Tamandua tetradactyla: one gene and its partner. The protein of the gene in region 1 purifies or fractionates together with the protein of each later gene. This does not show direct contact. Links are inferred from orthologs where the notes say so. Each region holds a gene or a part of one and is shown in the gene's direction. Other genes may lie near its edges.

Evidence for each region. Proteins that work in one complex are often made in the same cells at the same time.
Region 2: the proteins of OGDH (region 1) and DLST fractionate together in Homo sapiens (co-fractionation; 3 studies listed by BioGRID). This does not show direct contact. The link is inferred for Tamandua tetradactyla from reciprocal best matches to the Homo sapiens genes OGDH and DLST.

The regions. Positions count from the first base shown.
Region 1 is NC_135327.1:66,020,752-66,027,774, forward strand, and holds the start of OGDH (2-oxoglutarate dehydrogenase complex component E1), read left to right. Parts: upstream 1-3,949; 5' UTR 3,950-4,070; intron 4,071-7,023. Other genes in the region: TMED4 (transmembrane emp24 domain-containing protein 4), read right to left, coding at 36-261. UniProt on the Homo sapiens protein: 2-oxoglutarate dehydrogenase (E1o) component of the 2-oxoglutarate dehydrogenase complex (OGDHC). Participates in the first step, rate limiting for the overall conversion of 2-oxoglutarate to succinyl-CoA and CO(2) catalyzed by the whole OGDHC.
Region 2 is NC_135338.1:33,947,598-33,954,686, forward strand, and holds the start of DLST (dihydrolipoyllysine-residue succinyltransferase component of 2-oxoglutarate dehydrogenase complex, mitochondrial), read left to right. Parts: upstream 1-4,048; 5' UTR 4,049-4,117; coding exon 4,118-4,180; intron 4,181-4,759; coding exon 4,760-4,793; intron 4,794-7,089. UniProt on the Homo sapiens protein: Dihydrolipoamide succinyltransferase (E2) component of the 2-oxoglutarate dehydrogenase complex. The 2-oxoglutarate dehydrogenase complex catalyzes the overall conversion of 2-oxoglutarate to succinyl-CoA and CO(2).

The DNA.
Region 1 (7,023 bases):
GGAGAAGGCCCTCTCCTCCCTCACGCCCGCCTGACCGATGACCATGGTTTCGTCAGGGATCTCCTCGATGAAACAGCGCTTCTCGGTCTCGCCGATGTGGAAGTACAGCCCCCGAACACCCGCCACGCAGAGCGCGACCAACACCAGCGCCAACAGCCGCATCGCGGGTCGCCGCGGGACCTCAACACCTGCCATAGCGCGCGCCTCTCGCCCAGCGCGCCTGCGCGCCGCTTCGGGACAACGCGGCACTGCTACACGCATGCGCGGGGGTGCGCGCACGCGCAGACACAGCGCCCGTCCCAGAGCGTGGGTGGGGTGGTGCCTCTTTTCTCAACTGAGGGTTCTAAGGGGCCAGGTCTGGGTCTTGTGGCACTGAAGCCCTGGCGGTCCCGGAAGCCCGGCATTCGTCTTCCTTGCAAACCGGTGCCCTCCGACTTCCCTCGCCCCCTTTAGCATTTCGTTTGTACGGTGGCACCGAGGATGCGTCCTTGACTTTCTGGGGCACAAGCTAAGAGTAAATCTAGCAAATGTTTACTGGGTGGTGACTACGTTCTAATCTCATTGCCAGAGGCTGGCAGTACACTGGTGAATAAAATCTAGAACCCCAGCTCTACCTGCCACTCCGAAACGAGGGTCGGTTAGGGGAACTGATAAGAAACAAATGCGTAATGACAGATCCTAAAACTTTCCCGTTAGAAAACAATCCGCGTCGAGAAAACACAACGGCGGAGGAGGAAGTGGACAGGATTGGGAGGGCGGGGGCAGGAAGAGAGAGGCCAGATGAAGGGGGTGCAGCGGTGTAACTACTCAAAGTACAGCAGGGAAGCTGCTGAAAGGGTTTAAACACCTGCGGTGTGATCTATCAGACTTAAAAAAAAAAACAGTGACTGAAATCACCGCTTTGCAAGCCCTACTGGAATAACGGATCTAGATAAACATTATCTGAGAGGATTGGCCAGTGGACCCCTGAACTCATTGAGGACTTTGAATATTCCTGAGAGGGACAACCAGACACATGTGCCTCTTGAAGCGATGTGCCACCTATACAATATTCTTGTTCCTTCTCCCTGCAAGAGCTTAAAACTAGTCAAGCCTCTTGGTTTCACTACTAGCTTATGGGAAATACAGGAGTTAAAGGAGCATCTCAGATGTCACCATGAGGATAAAATCAACCAAATCCAGACTGGGAAACTGTGCAGACAAGGAAATAAACAACAAAAATGGCATTAAAAGTGGGGGAGGAAGAAACATTATGACTTAAAAGAGACTTGGGTGCACGGGTGGTTCAGTGGTTGAATGCTCGCCTTTCATGCGGGAGACCTGGGTTCGATTGCCGGACCCTGCACCCCGCCCCCACCCAAAAAAAAGAGACTTAAGAGCAGAACAACCAAATAGAATGTGTGGGCCTTGTTTGGATTGTGATTCAAACCAACCAACAAGAAAAGGATGTATCTGAGACAATGAGTGCTCTAATGTGAACTTGGGTGTTATGAGACATTAAGGAATTATTGTCGATTTTGTTGTTTTGTTGCATATCATTATTGTACTGTGGATTGTTTAAGTCCTCATCTGTTAGAGGTACATACTGTAGTATTTACAGGTAAAAATAAATACTCTGGGTAGTTCAGTGGTAGAATGCTCGCCTTACATGTGGGAGACCCGAGTTCAATTCCCAGACAATACACACACACACATCCCCCAAAATAATAACTAATAAAAAAAATACTCTGGCTGTACTGTGGAGAATGGACTACAAATGGACCAGAGTAACAGGGAAGCTTGTCAGGAGGTGACTTTGATGCTTCAAATAAGAGATGTTGATGGCAATGGGGATGAGAGAAGGAAGGGGCTGGAATATTCAGCAAATAGAGACAGCAACCTCAATGTCAAATTTTCCCTACACTTGTTCTTCAAAGTTGAAACTTGGAGTCTTTTTCATTTTTTGATATCCATCCCCTGTTTTCCCACCAGAGTAGTCGCAACTTATCAGGCAGCTCACTGTCCTCTAGGTCAAGATTTGGAAAACATAATCACCACATTCATGCACTCACACTCTTTGTCTTATAGCTGGGATGCCTGCGTCTTCATTACTGCCTGGAAGTTATCTGCCAGTACAACAAAGACATTCCTTGGAAGGAAACCAGGCTAAGAGGTGTGTGATGCAGAGCTCATCCCTGCCCACCTCCTCAGGCAACCCTTCCAGTAACTCTCTGGAAGCATGCCAAGCTTTGGTTGCTGTTATCTTGAACACTGCCCACCTTGAGTGCATCTTGTTTTGAGAAAAAAGCACATACCAAGATGTTTGTCCAAGATTTGCACACCAACCCTGGCATTTAGCCACTTTTGTTTCCCCAAGCATCTGTGGAGTGGTTGCCATAGATGCAGAACATACTCAAGTGAACTTCGTGCAAAGTACCTGCAGCTTTCTGTAAGTTCCCCTAATAAATGCTTAAGGACTGATTACCCCATGTTTAATGGTTCCTTCTTCAGAAGGGCAACCAGTGCCATTGTGGGGTGTTTTGGGGTAAGTCCAGCTGGGTCTTCCCCTATTTCTTTTTTTGGGGTGAATCCTGCTGCAGCTTTGTCAGGATGCAAAAAAATGGCTATGATGGGACCTTGGGAAGTGTATGTGGGGTACCTGGCACTTGCCTTTGTGTACTCTCCTTGCAAAATACAATCAAAATTAAAACCCTGGGCGGGCCACGTGGCTTAGCAGGCAGAGTTCTCGCCTGCCGTGCAGGAGACCCGGGTTCGATTCCTGGTGCCTGCTCATGATATATGTATGTATTTTTACATATATATATATATATGCTGCTACCTGTTTATCCTGTAAGTATTGGGATTGAACCATGATAAACAACCTTGTGACATTTAAAGAAATAAGTTCGTCAAGATAAGCCTTCCTGGGGGATGGCAGTTCTTTGGTATGGAATGTAAGCCCAGTGCTGCTAGACTTTCTTTTCTTTTTGTTTTTCTAAAAAGGTAGAAATTTGGGTGTCTTTGATTTTAAAACCTTAGCCTTTAGCTCAACTTTTGTCTCACACAACAGACAACAAAGCACAATCTCTAGCCACATTTAGCAGTCAAGCTGCCAGTTCCTGATTTCCCTACAAATCCAGTGGCAGACACTCTTCGGCTTTCATTTATTTAACCTCTCTGTTCACTATTGCCCACTCCTTCCTTCTCCTAATAGTTTGTCTTGTTCTCCTTCCTTCATTCTTTGAACAACTGGCAGAAAATGGGACTGAATATCTCGACTAAGATAATTATGGAAAAGAGAGATAAGAGGACAACTAGGAACGAGTGGTGTCATGGAGTATGTCTACACCCCTAGCCAGAACACACCCTTTGTGCAGTATAAAGGAAAATGAAAACTTAACTAGAAACTTACTTGGTTACTTATTGCGCATGGAATCAGAGCAAAAGAAGGTAGAAAGTTTGTTTATAATTAAGGGGATTTCCAGACAAAAAAAGAGGGAATGCTGTAAAGAATTTTCATATACTCACCAACTAGCTTCAATAAAGTTTTGCCATTCTTGTTTCATCTATCCTTCTAACTTTTCTCTGAAGTATTATCAAGAAAATCCCAGACATCATTTCATTTCACCTATAAACGCTTGTGTACCTTTCTAACAGATAAGGAGTTCTAAAAAGGACATTATAACACTCAAAATTTTAAAATAATTTTTTGATACCATCTAATGCTTAGTATGCAGAGTTCAATTTCCCCCCATCATTTCAAAAAACTTTGTTAGATTTGACCCACCGAACGCGTACGGAAGGGGCGGCGTGGCTCACCGGGAACCACCTGGGCTCTGCAGGCGACCACCGAGCCCACCCGGGACCGTTGTGACAATGCGGCCACGGGCCACCGGCCGCCATCCCAGCCACGCCCTCTAAACCAGGTGCCGGTTAGAGTACCGGTGCAGGGCGCGGGCGGGGCGGGCGTACTCCACTCCCTCGGGGCGGGCGACGTGCTGACGAAGCACGCAGGGGGCGGGACCAAGAGTTTGGTGCTACCGGAGTACGGTGTCGGCGCCTCATTCGGGCGGAGCCTCGGCGGGAGACAGGTAGCTGCGGCTAGGCCCGGGCGCGGGTGCGGGGAGGCCTCTGCGCGTGCGGCCAGTGAGGCGGAGGTCACGGCCAGGGGGCGAGGCCGCTGCGCCGTAGTTCGCTGCTACTGCCGCGGTGACAGTGGAGTGAGGCGGGGATGGAGCGGAGGTGACGGAGGGGGGTGGGCGGGAACTGGGGGGGATTCCTGAGGGACTGGAGTTGCAGCCAATAGGGCGGCGGTGGTCGCCTGGCGGGCTGAGAGTGACAGGTGCGAAGGGCTCGCTCGGGGCGCGGAGGGGCTCGGAATTGGCTGTCGGCTCGATGGGGGCGGGGCCTCCGCGGCGGGCGGATGTGAGGGAATGGGCTGCAGCCGCTTCCAGGGTGACCCACAAGGTCGCGAGCAGGCGTCACGTGGGAGGGGTCGTCCCGGGCAGGGTCGCGCCCCTCCAGGCTGCCTTGGGCTCCGCTGGGGGTTCTGCAGTCTCTCCGAGGAGCGAGCTTTCTCCCGGCTCGTCGGCCAGTGCCTCGGCCCCTCCGAGGGCGCTGTCCCCGGGTCTTCCCAGGCATGCGGGCGGATTGTCTCGGGCCGGGATCCCTTGGGCACGCGTCGCACACGCTCATTAGAGGAATGTGAGCCGCAGGCGGGCACTGCGCCCTCCAGGAAGCTCACTTCTCCTGCCCTCTGCATCTCCCCCTTTTGTCCTCTAATCCGTTAGTTTTCCTGTGTAGGGCGGGAGCAGGTGTGTGGAGACCTGGGGCTCCACAATTCCGCTCTTGATTTTCGAACTGTACGCGCTCATCTCTGTGTCCTTCTGAGGTGTCCCCCCGCCCCCCACCAATACCTGGGCATTGAATGGCCTTTTTATGTAATTGTTGCCTCTTCTGGCTTGTGTCCCCCCACCATTGTTATATCAGAACACACGTAGAATATTATTAGGTTGGCTGCATTTCTTGGACTAGGAATTCTTGGCTGTCCCTTCTGCAGCTTCACTCGGTAATGACATTGGATAAGTCGATTTATCTCTCTATGGAGTAATCTCGCAACCGTAATTACACCTTTTTGGAAATTTTATGGGACATTTTGATTGAACTGAAGGTCAATTCCTATGGGAACACAATTCCCTTTTTATTTTCCCCTTTTGAAAAGGCATTTTAATATACACGGAAGTTGTTGCATAGGGAGATTTAATAAACTTGTGGCAACACCATCACAGGATAGCCGTGGCATTTATTCTTGGTAAACAAGAACTTCGTGACTGACCCTCATGTATCCCCCACCAGCTCTTCTACTCCTTTGTTCAGAACAGAGATCACTCACCAGCGGTCCAAAGTGTGAACTCCGAATTACGTTTCTTTGTGCCTTGTTTTCAGTTCTTTGCTTTGAAGCAGGTGCTGGTGTCTGATTTCCAGGTACACTGCTCCAAGCAGTTTTTAAGATGAATGGTTTGGGGTTGAAGCCTTTTTGCACTCCAGCACTAGGTGCAACAGTCAAGCCACCGTTTTTGCTATGTAGATCCATTCCATATGAAAATACTTAACACTCCTCCAGCTTTGGAAATTAGTTGAGTACTGAATTTTGGATAGTGGGAGAAAGATCAGTGTATCACTCATTTATTATTACTTTTTTCTTTTTAATTTTATTGTGGTTTTATATACATGAATATATATGTATATAATTGGCTGTTTTAACCATTTTTAAGTGTACGAGTCAGCAGTATTAATTACATTGTCAGTGTTGTGTTATCACCACCATCCATTACCAGAGCTTTGCTAGCACTTTCCACATTTCAGTTGCCTTTTAGAAAATAACAGCTTCATTGAAATATGATTCACATCGTATACAATTCACCCATTTAAGTGTACAATTCAGTGATTATAGTTTATTCAGAGTTATGCAGCCATTACCAGAATTCAGTTACTTTTAAAGACTAACTAGAATTTCAGAAACATGCCAATCTTGGTTTTGTTTAATTGCAGAATTTATGAAATACCAAATATTTCCCGTATTTACTATATGCTTTTAACCTATCTCATGCCTCACCACCCTCATTTTTTAAAAAAATAACCTCTATTTTTAAAATTTTGAGCTGGTTTTCATTTTGAGATACTTGTAGATTCATGTGCAGTTAAAAGAAATAATAGAGTTGTCCTCTTTATTCAGATTTTCCCTATGGTAACATTTTGCAAAATTACAGTACAATAGCACAACTAGGATATTGACTAATAAATGTTAAAATACAGAACACTTTAATTACCACAAATACACCTCTTGTTCCCTTTTTTATAGCCACACCCTTTTTCCTCCCATTCCCACTCTCTGCTTAACCCCTGGCGAACCACTTTGTTCACCATTTCTGTGCTTTTGTCATTTCATCTTCTTTATATAAATGGAATCATACAATATGTAGCCTTCTGAGATTAGCTTTTTCACTAGCATAATCCTCTGGGAGATTCATCCAGGTTGCTGTGTGTAGCATTAGTAAGTCCCTTTTTATTGCTGAGTAGCATTTAATGGTATGATGCACCAGTATGTTTAGCTATTCCCCATTGTCAGGGTTTTTTCCAGACTGGGATATTATTACAAAGAACGTTGCTATTAACATTTGTGTAACAGTTTTTGTGTGAACATAAGTTTTTATTTCTCTAGGATATATGCCTAGGCATGCAATTGCTAGGTCATATGAGTTCCATGTTTAGTTTTTTTAGGAAATTGCCAAATTGTTTTCCAGAGTGGCTGTACCATTTTACAGTTCTCCTAGCAGTGCATGAGTGAACTAGTTTATCCACATCTTTGCCAGCATTTGGTGATGTCACTATTTTTTATTTTATCCTTTCTAATAGATGTGTAGTAGTAGCTCATTCTGGTTTTAATTTGTAATTCCCTAATAGCTAGTGGTATTGAACTTTTTTTGTGCACTTATTTGCCATATGAATAGCCTCTTTGGTGAAATTTGTCTTCCTCTCTTTTGT
Region 2 (7,089 bases), on another chromosome or scaffold:
GAGAAAGCTCAAAGGATGGTGTAGTTATACAGAGAAGGTAGGGTTTAACAAATGAGTATGAGTGCTGAATCATTATATTAATACTTCCTTTGGTCTCCAGTACTTTAGAGCAGCTAGTAGTAAAAACCTAAAACAGTGGAATTGTTACCCATACCAAAATTCTTAAATCTGTTCTACAACTCATTGTTGCAATGTACTTTGAAATTTATTGCTTTTTAGTATACATGTTCTTATTCACAAAAAAGAAAAATACATATTTCTTCCAGTGTCCAGTGTTTTACAGGAGCTAGGAGGGAAATTCTGAAATAGTGAAATGGTAACCCATAACAAATTCTAAAATCTGTTCTGTATCTACTTATTGAAGTGTACTTTGAAAATCATTGCTTTTTTTCTTTTCTTTGCATACATGTTATATTTAACAATAAAGAAAGTTTTAAAAAACAAACAAGCAAAAAAAAGTCTTTACCTAGTCATTTTCTGAAAACTTCCCTGGACCGGTGTTAGGGAACTACTGCTCTTCTTACCATGTCCTTGCTTTATGATGGGGAAACAAACCCAGAGAGGTGAAGGGCCATGCCCAAGATCACAGGAGAAACACCCCTAGCTGTCAGAGATCCTTCCAGTGACTGTACAGCATCCCGGGCTGGGAGTTAAGAGGTCTGGCCTCTACTCCCAGCCATTTGCCCTCAGGCCACACTCAAGCTTCTTTGTGCCTTTTTCCCCGGGGATGCCCATGACAGGTATGAGAACCAGCCTTTTTTTTTTTTTTCAAACATAACAACATACAAACATGAACATTCTTACCATATGATCATTCCATTCTTGGTATATAATCAATAATTCACCATATCATCACATAGTTGTATATTCATCACCATGATCATTTCTTAAAACATTTGCATTAATTCAGAAAAAGAAATAAAAGGAAAAAAGAAAAAACTCATACATACCATACTCCTTACCCCTCCCTCTCATTGATTGCTAGTATTTCCATCTACCCAATATATTTTAGGCTTTGTTTCCCTTATTTTTTTCTATACCCTTTATCACTCCCTTCCATTGATCACTAGCATTTCAATCTACTAAATTTATTTTAACATTTGTTCCCCCTATTATTTATTTATTTTTAGTCCATATGTTTTACTCATCTGTCCATATGTAGATAAAAAGAGCATCAGACACAAGAGAACCAGTCACTTTCAAAAGGAGAGCTTCAAAAGTGTTCCAGAGTTGTGCTGAATGAAGCTGCATCTGATCTATAGTTTTTTTTGTTTGTTTGTTTGTTTTCTCTTATATATTTTTGTACTTTTTATTTTTATTTGTGTTTTCTCTCTGTGTTATCACTTTATTTCTTTTTCTGTTGTAGTGCTATTTCTTTCTCTAAATCGATGCATATGTACTGAGAAATGATGACCATACACCTATGTGATGATATTAAGAATTACTGATTGCATATGTAGAATGGATTGATTTCTATTGTTGTGTTAGTTAATTTTTTTAATTAATAAAAAAAAAAAAAAGTAAAAATAAAAAAAAATAAAAAAAAAAAAGTGTTCCAGAGTTGCATGCCAGGGTATTATGGAGTGAAATATCTTGATGTTTACAGTTTACTTGACAGTATTTTAGCCCACAAAAATAGATGAAGAAAATATGGCAACATATCAACAACTGTTAAATCTAGGTGATGGGTATTCATGGGTGGGTATTCCTTATGATAGTTTATCTGCATTTCAGTATGCTGGAAAACGTTAATAATGAACATTCCTTAACTGTAAAAAGCACTCTGGCAATGGAAATGGAAGGGATGGGATGGGGTTACTCACAGGAACGAGGTCTGCAGAGAGGTCCAGGTCCAGGGTCTACAGCCAAGCAGGGCCCGCCATCCCGAGGAGATGGAGCAGCCCTCTCTTCACCTGCCTTGGGCAGACACAGCCATGGTCAGGAAGTGTTTTTGGTTTCCTCTCCTTCCTCCCCAGGCAGGTCTCCAGCCGTGACTGGGTGAGGGGATTCACCCTCCCACTGCCCACCCTTCTCAGTCAGTGTAAGGCACCATCTGACAGACCCAGCCCAGCGCTGCTGCAACTGCTGGCACTGGGGACAGTGGGGGCTACCCAGAGCAGCCAACCGGTGTGGGGGGGCTTATGAATATGCAGATAAGGCCAGAGCCGGTTGGCTACCCTCCTGCCACTTCCCACTTCCACCCCAACTCAGGTGCCCAGAAAGACAGCTCAGAGAGAACCTTCCTGAAATGCCACCTCTTTTCTCCTTGCCAAAGGAATCAGAGAGCCCTTAGAGAAATATGTGGACTGAATTATCCAGCTTCTTCCATCACTTTGGACTCTAGTGGGGAGCCCCTAACCTCTGCTTCCAAATTCCCCAGCAAGGCAGTTCCAAAGTGAACATCCTTCTCCTGCTCCTCAAACATCCTAAGGTTATAGCACCTACCCAGCTCCAAAATATGACATCTCTGCTCTAAAGGAAGGTTGCGTGGCCTCTCCCTCCAGCTAGATCCAAAACACTGTTGGGGAGGCTGGTTGCTGGACCAAAAGTTCCCAGCCCTAGCAGAGCTGAGGAGGACTCACTGGCCAAATTTACCTACCCCTGAACATCACCTGAATTTTGCCATTCTCCTCCATCAGTTCACAAAGTAGGGAAGTAGAATAAATGTTCTGAAATAGGGCAATGAAAAATCAATGAACTTCAGCTCAACTCATCAATTTATCAACTTAACTTTTTCAATTCATAAACATGTGTTCCATTGTGAAATATATATTCAAAAAGGTTTGTAAATATATGTGTACAGTTTTAAGAAGACTAATAAGAGGAATATTCATACCCACCACCCACACTATGGAATGAAAAAACCCTTGGTGGCCCTTCTTGATCATTCTCCCCAGAGTTAACCACCACTGTCCTGAGTTATATACTGGCCATCTCCTTGCTTTTTTTTTTATAGCTCCAACATCTACATGCCCTAAACTACATACAAATTTTGCCTATTTTTTAAATTGATAAAAGGATGCATTTACTTTCATATTATACAAGAATTTTTTTTTTTCTGTTTTTAGAAAGGAAAAGTGGCTCAGCTAATGAAAAATGGCAGAGTGGGCAGCTCACCTTTAACAATACAGGCTTCTTCTCCCTGTCCTCAAATTCCCCAGTATTCACATATGTGGTCTGAACCACTACTCACTAGGTATTGTACCTTCCAGCCTTGAGGAAATGAATAAGGGGATTGCAGCTGCTGTTTCTGCCTTCATGGTGATAGGTCTCCAAAGGGTGTGGATTAACGTGCATGATGGGACACAAGGTCATGTCCTTTTATTTATAAGGTAATGGATAAAATGTTATGCCTCAAGAAAGCTAAGAGGCCCAAATACAGCCGCAAATATTCACTGTGCACCCTGCCTACCTATGCCAATCTCTGTTCTAGTGCTGGGGATACGACAGTAAACAAGACAGACCGGATCCCTAATCTCATGAAGTTTATATTCTAAGAATGGGCTGACAAACGAACAACCCCCGCCCAGATACCCAGGAAAATCAGTTGTTTGGTTAAAGAGAATTTGGGCAGGGACAGGGATAGATCTGGAGATGGTGTTGCAAAAGTAAGACAAGTCGGTGAAGGTCTTCGGCTTGGCAAGAGGGTAATGGGAATCCTTGAGATGTTTCTTGGGGGTTCTTTTTCTTTGTTTCGGGGTTAGGAAGGCAGGGAAGTGGCAAATGCCCTTTTAACAGTTAAGAAACCTAGGGACAAAAAGTCTAAGACCAGGCAGGTATGTCCGCAAAGGTGGGCGTTCAAAACCAGTGCTCGCCTTTCGCTTCTTTCCCCTGAAGAAGAACAGTGCGGGGCCCTAGGGTCCCAGGTGAGGAGAGCGCGGCCCGCAGCATCCAGCTCTGCACGACAGGCTCCGAGAGCACGTCACTGACGTCTGCCCGCGGGCGCTTGACTCCCGGGCTGGGACCCGGGCTGTTCTGTGCCACCCATTCGCCCGCTGCCAGTGGTTTGCTCCGAACACCCCTCGCTGCGCGGCGGGTGCCGCGACCCGCCCCACTTCCGGTTGCCGCCGGGCCCTATATCCGCTGTCCGCCCGCTCTCAGCTTTCCTGTGTTCGTGATGTTGTCCCGGTCCCGCTGCGTGTCCCGGGCGTTCAGTCGCTCCCTCTCCGCCTTCCAGAAGGTACGGTCCGGCCGGGCCGGGGTCACAGCGGTGAGGAGCCTGTGGGCAGGCAGCCGGCCGGCCGGCCCTCCCAGAGGCGCGCTCGCCACCCAGGCCGGCCACCCAAGGGCACTGGGACGCGGAGGCCGCGGGCTAGATGGCCCAGGGTCGCCGTCGCCCTCGGCACTGCCTAACCGAGCAGAGCCCAGAGGCCCCTCTCTTTCTGAGGCAGCCCTCGCCAACCATCTCCTGCCGCACCCTACCCTCAGATCTCGGGCTCGTGAGCCGCCCGGAACTGCGCCCGCCCTGACACGGGACTCAGAGTTCGGGAGGAGGCGCGGATGCTTCCCGGTGTGATTCGGCGATTTGTCTCTTCTCATCTGTTAAAATCAGGGGGTGTCAGCCCCATTGGGAAGTTGACATAGTTTGACAGGCCCAGTGTGCAGGTTGGGATCGTGAGCCCTGGATGTTGCATTTGGAGTCACGAGATTCACCTGTCACCAGCACTGAGACAGCTTTTGAGTTTATCTTTAAAAGAAAAAGCTGTTTCTTCCCTCCTTTCATCTTGGGTGACGTCGATAATGTCTTCTTTCTCAACAGGGGAACTGCCCTCTAGGGAGACGTTCCCTGACTGGTAAGTTCTGCCCTTGCCCTGGCCGTCACCTAAAATGCTCTTCTCTTGGGCAGAGGAGTATGTGAGGAAAGACGGGGTACCTGTGTTTTGCCTCATAATGTTCAAAGACATAATGTTCAGTTCACATAAGAGTGAAACACTGTCTGACTTAAGTAGTTAGCCGTCTTACGTTTAATAATTTAATAATTACAGCTGTTATTCATTCATTGCATAATTATTGAGTGTCTTCTGTGTATCAGTGCTGTGCTAGGCACCAACTGGAGATATAACAATGAGCAGTTTTGTCCTCATGAGGCTTACTGACGAATGAGAAAGACAAGGTGTAAATGGTTAAGCAAACAACCACAAATTTTAGTAAGTGCTAAGAAGAGCATGAATGAGGGTAGACAGAGAAAACCCCTCTGAGTGGGTGACATTAAAGCTGTGACCTGGAAGGTGTGACAGAACCAACCTAGTAAAGAGCAGTTGAAAGAAAGGGAACAGCATGTGCAACGTCCCTGAGGAAAGAAAGGTGGCAGTATTTAGGAACTGGAAAAGTGGTTTGGCTAGGGCATTTTGGTTAAGAGAGGAAGTGGCATTGGCATCAGAAGATGTTATAGAGACTTTTGGAAGGAGTTTAAATTTTATCCCAATGCTTTTTGGAAAATCATTAATGCTGTGTTTGATATAGCTTATTTTTTACTATATGACTAGCATAAAGTTGAAGGGATGAATCTTTATTGTAGGCTCTCCGTATGCCAAGGATTGTTCTAACTGTTTTCTCTGCATTTTTCAGTTAATCACAGTCAGTAAGAGAGAGAGATTTATCTCTGTTTTACAAATGTACGACGACCTGAGACTCAAAGAGCTTAAGTACCTTGGTCAAGGTCACTGGGTCAGCTATTAGTCAAGTCAGGTCTCCCTGAGTCCAAAGCCTGAACTCTTTAACCATCATGTTATATACTCATATAGTCCACAGATAATTTGAGTGTTTACTACATACCAGGTACTATGCTAGGTGACAGGGATGCTGATGGTCTCTGCTCTCATGTATCTTATGGGCTAGCTGGGGTGGCAGAGTAAGTACACATTTATGCACACATGGGACATAATTACATTGTGATAACTAACAGAAGAGAAACGCAGGGTATGATAATGGGGTAAATGATGTAACCCAGTTTTGGAGGATGAGGAGTGTAGTGGAAATGTCAGTAAAGGCTTTCCAAAAAAGTGGTATTTAAGCTGAGACTTGAAGAATAAATAGGAGTCAGCCAAGAGAATGATACTCCAGACAAAAAAGGGAGTTGCTGGTACAAAGGTTTTCAGGCAGGAAGGAGCTTAACAGGTCATGGAAATGGAAAGGAAGCCTGCCTGGCTAGAAAGATAGAGCTGTGTAAAGATTTTGGACTTTATCCTGAGAGTCGGCAAAGCATAGCACCTAGCATGGCGTCAGCACAGTGAACTCTCAATAATAAACATTCTTTTTAACTGGGAATCCTGGAAAATGCCAGTAAGCATTCTCTCCCTTTTAATAGACTGACAGAACAATAGAAAGAGCCTTGTTTGCATCCTGGATCAGAGCTTTACCTTGGGTAAAGGTAACCTCCAGAAGTCCTATATAAATATGAAATAGGAATAATTGCAGATGGTTACTTCACTCCAGAGAGTTGTGAGACTCAGAAATCAAAATGAGGTCATTATGTGAAAGCTTTTTATAAACTAGAAAGTCCTGTACAAATGGAACTTGCTATTGAATGAGTTCTAAATTGGACTCAAGGTTCCAAAAATCAGTATAGCAGCTGGCTGTTCTAGCTCAGAGATGTGCTATGCTTAGGATTTTTACTGCAGGCTCATTGGCTGCTTGGCATAGGTAACTTGACTCTGAAATCCAGGAATGTTTGTGAAGAGGTGGGCACAAGAGAAAGAGATCTCCTGTCGTCAGAAAGCATTAAGATCTGGTGGGTGGGGATGGATTGTGAATAAAAATAAAATAAAAATAAATATATATATATACACATTATATGTATAATTATGTAATAATTATTATAATTATATCAATAAATAAGTTTATTTGGGAAAGGCAGAAATAGTAATTAGTCACCAGTTGGGGAAATGGTATTACCTGTGAACAGATAATTGGTAGGGCAGAAAGGGGCTCTCATTTTGTCAAGAGTGAACAGGGTGGAAGTTCACAGGAAAGGCATGGGAGAGCAATAAGCTGAAAGGTGGGGAAATAATTTGCTCAGTCCTAGGACAGGCTGGAGATCCTGAGCCTAAAGAAGCCCAGTCTTTGCTACTTCCAGCCCTGTCCATTCAG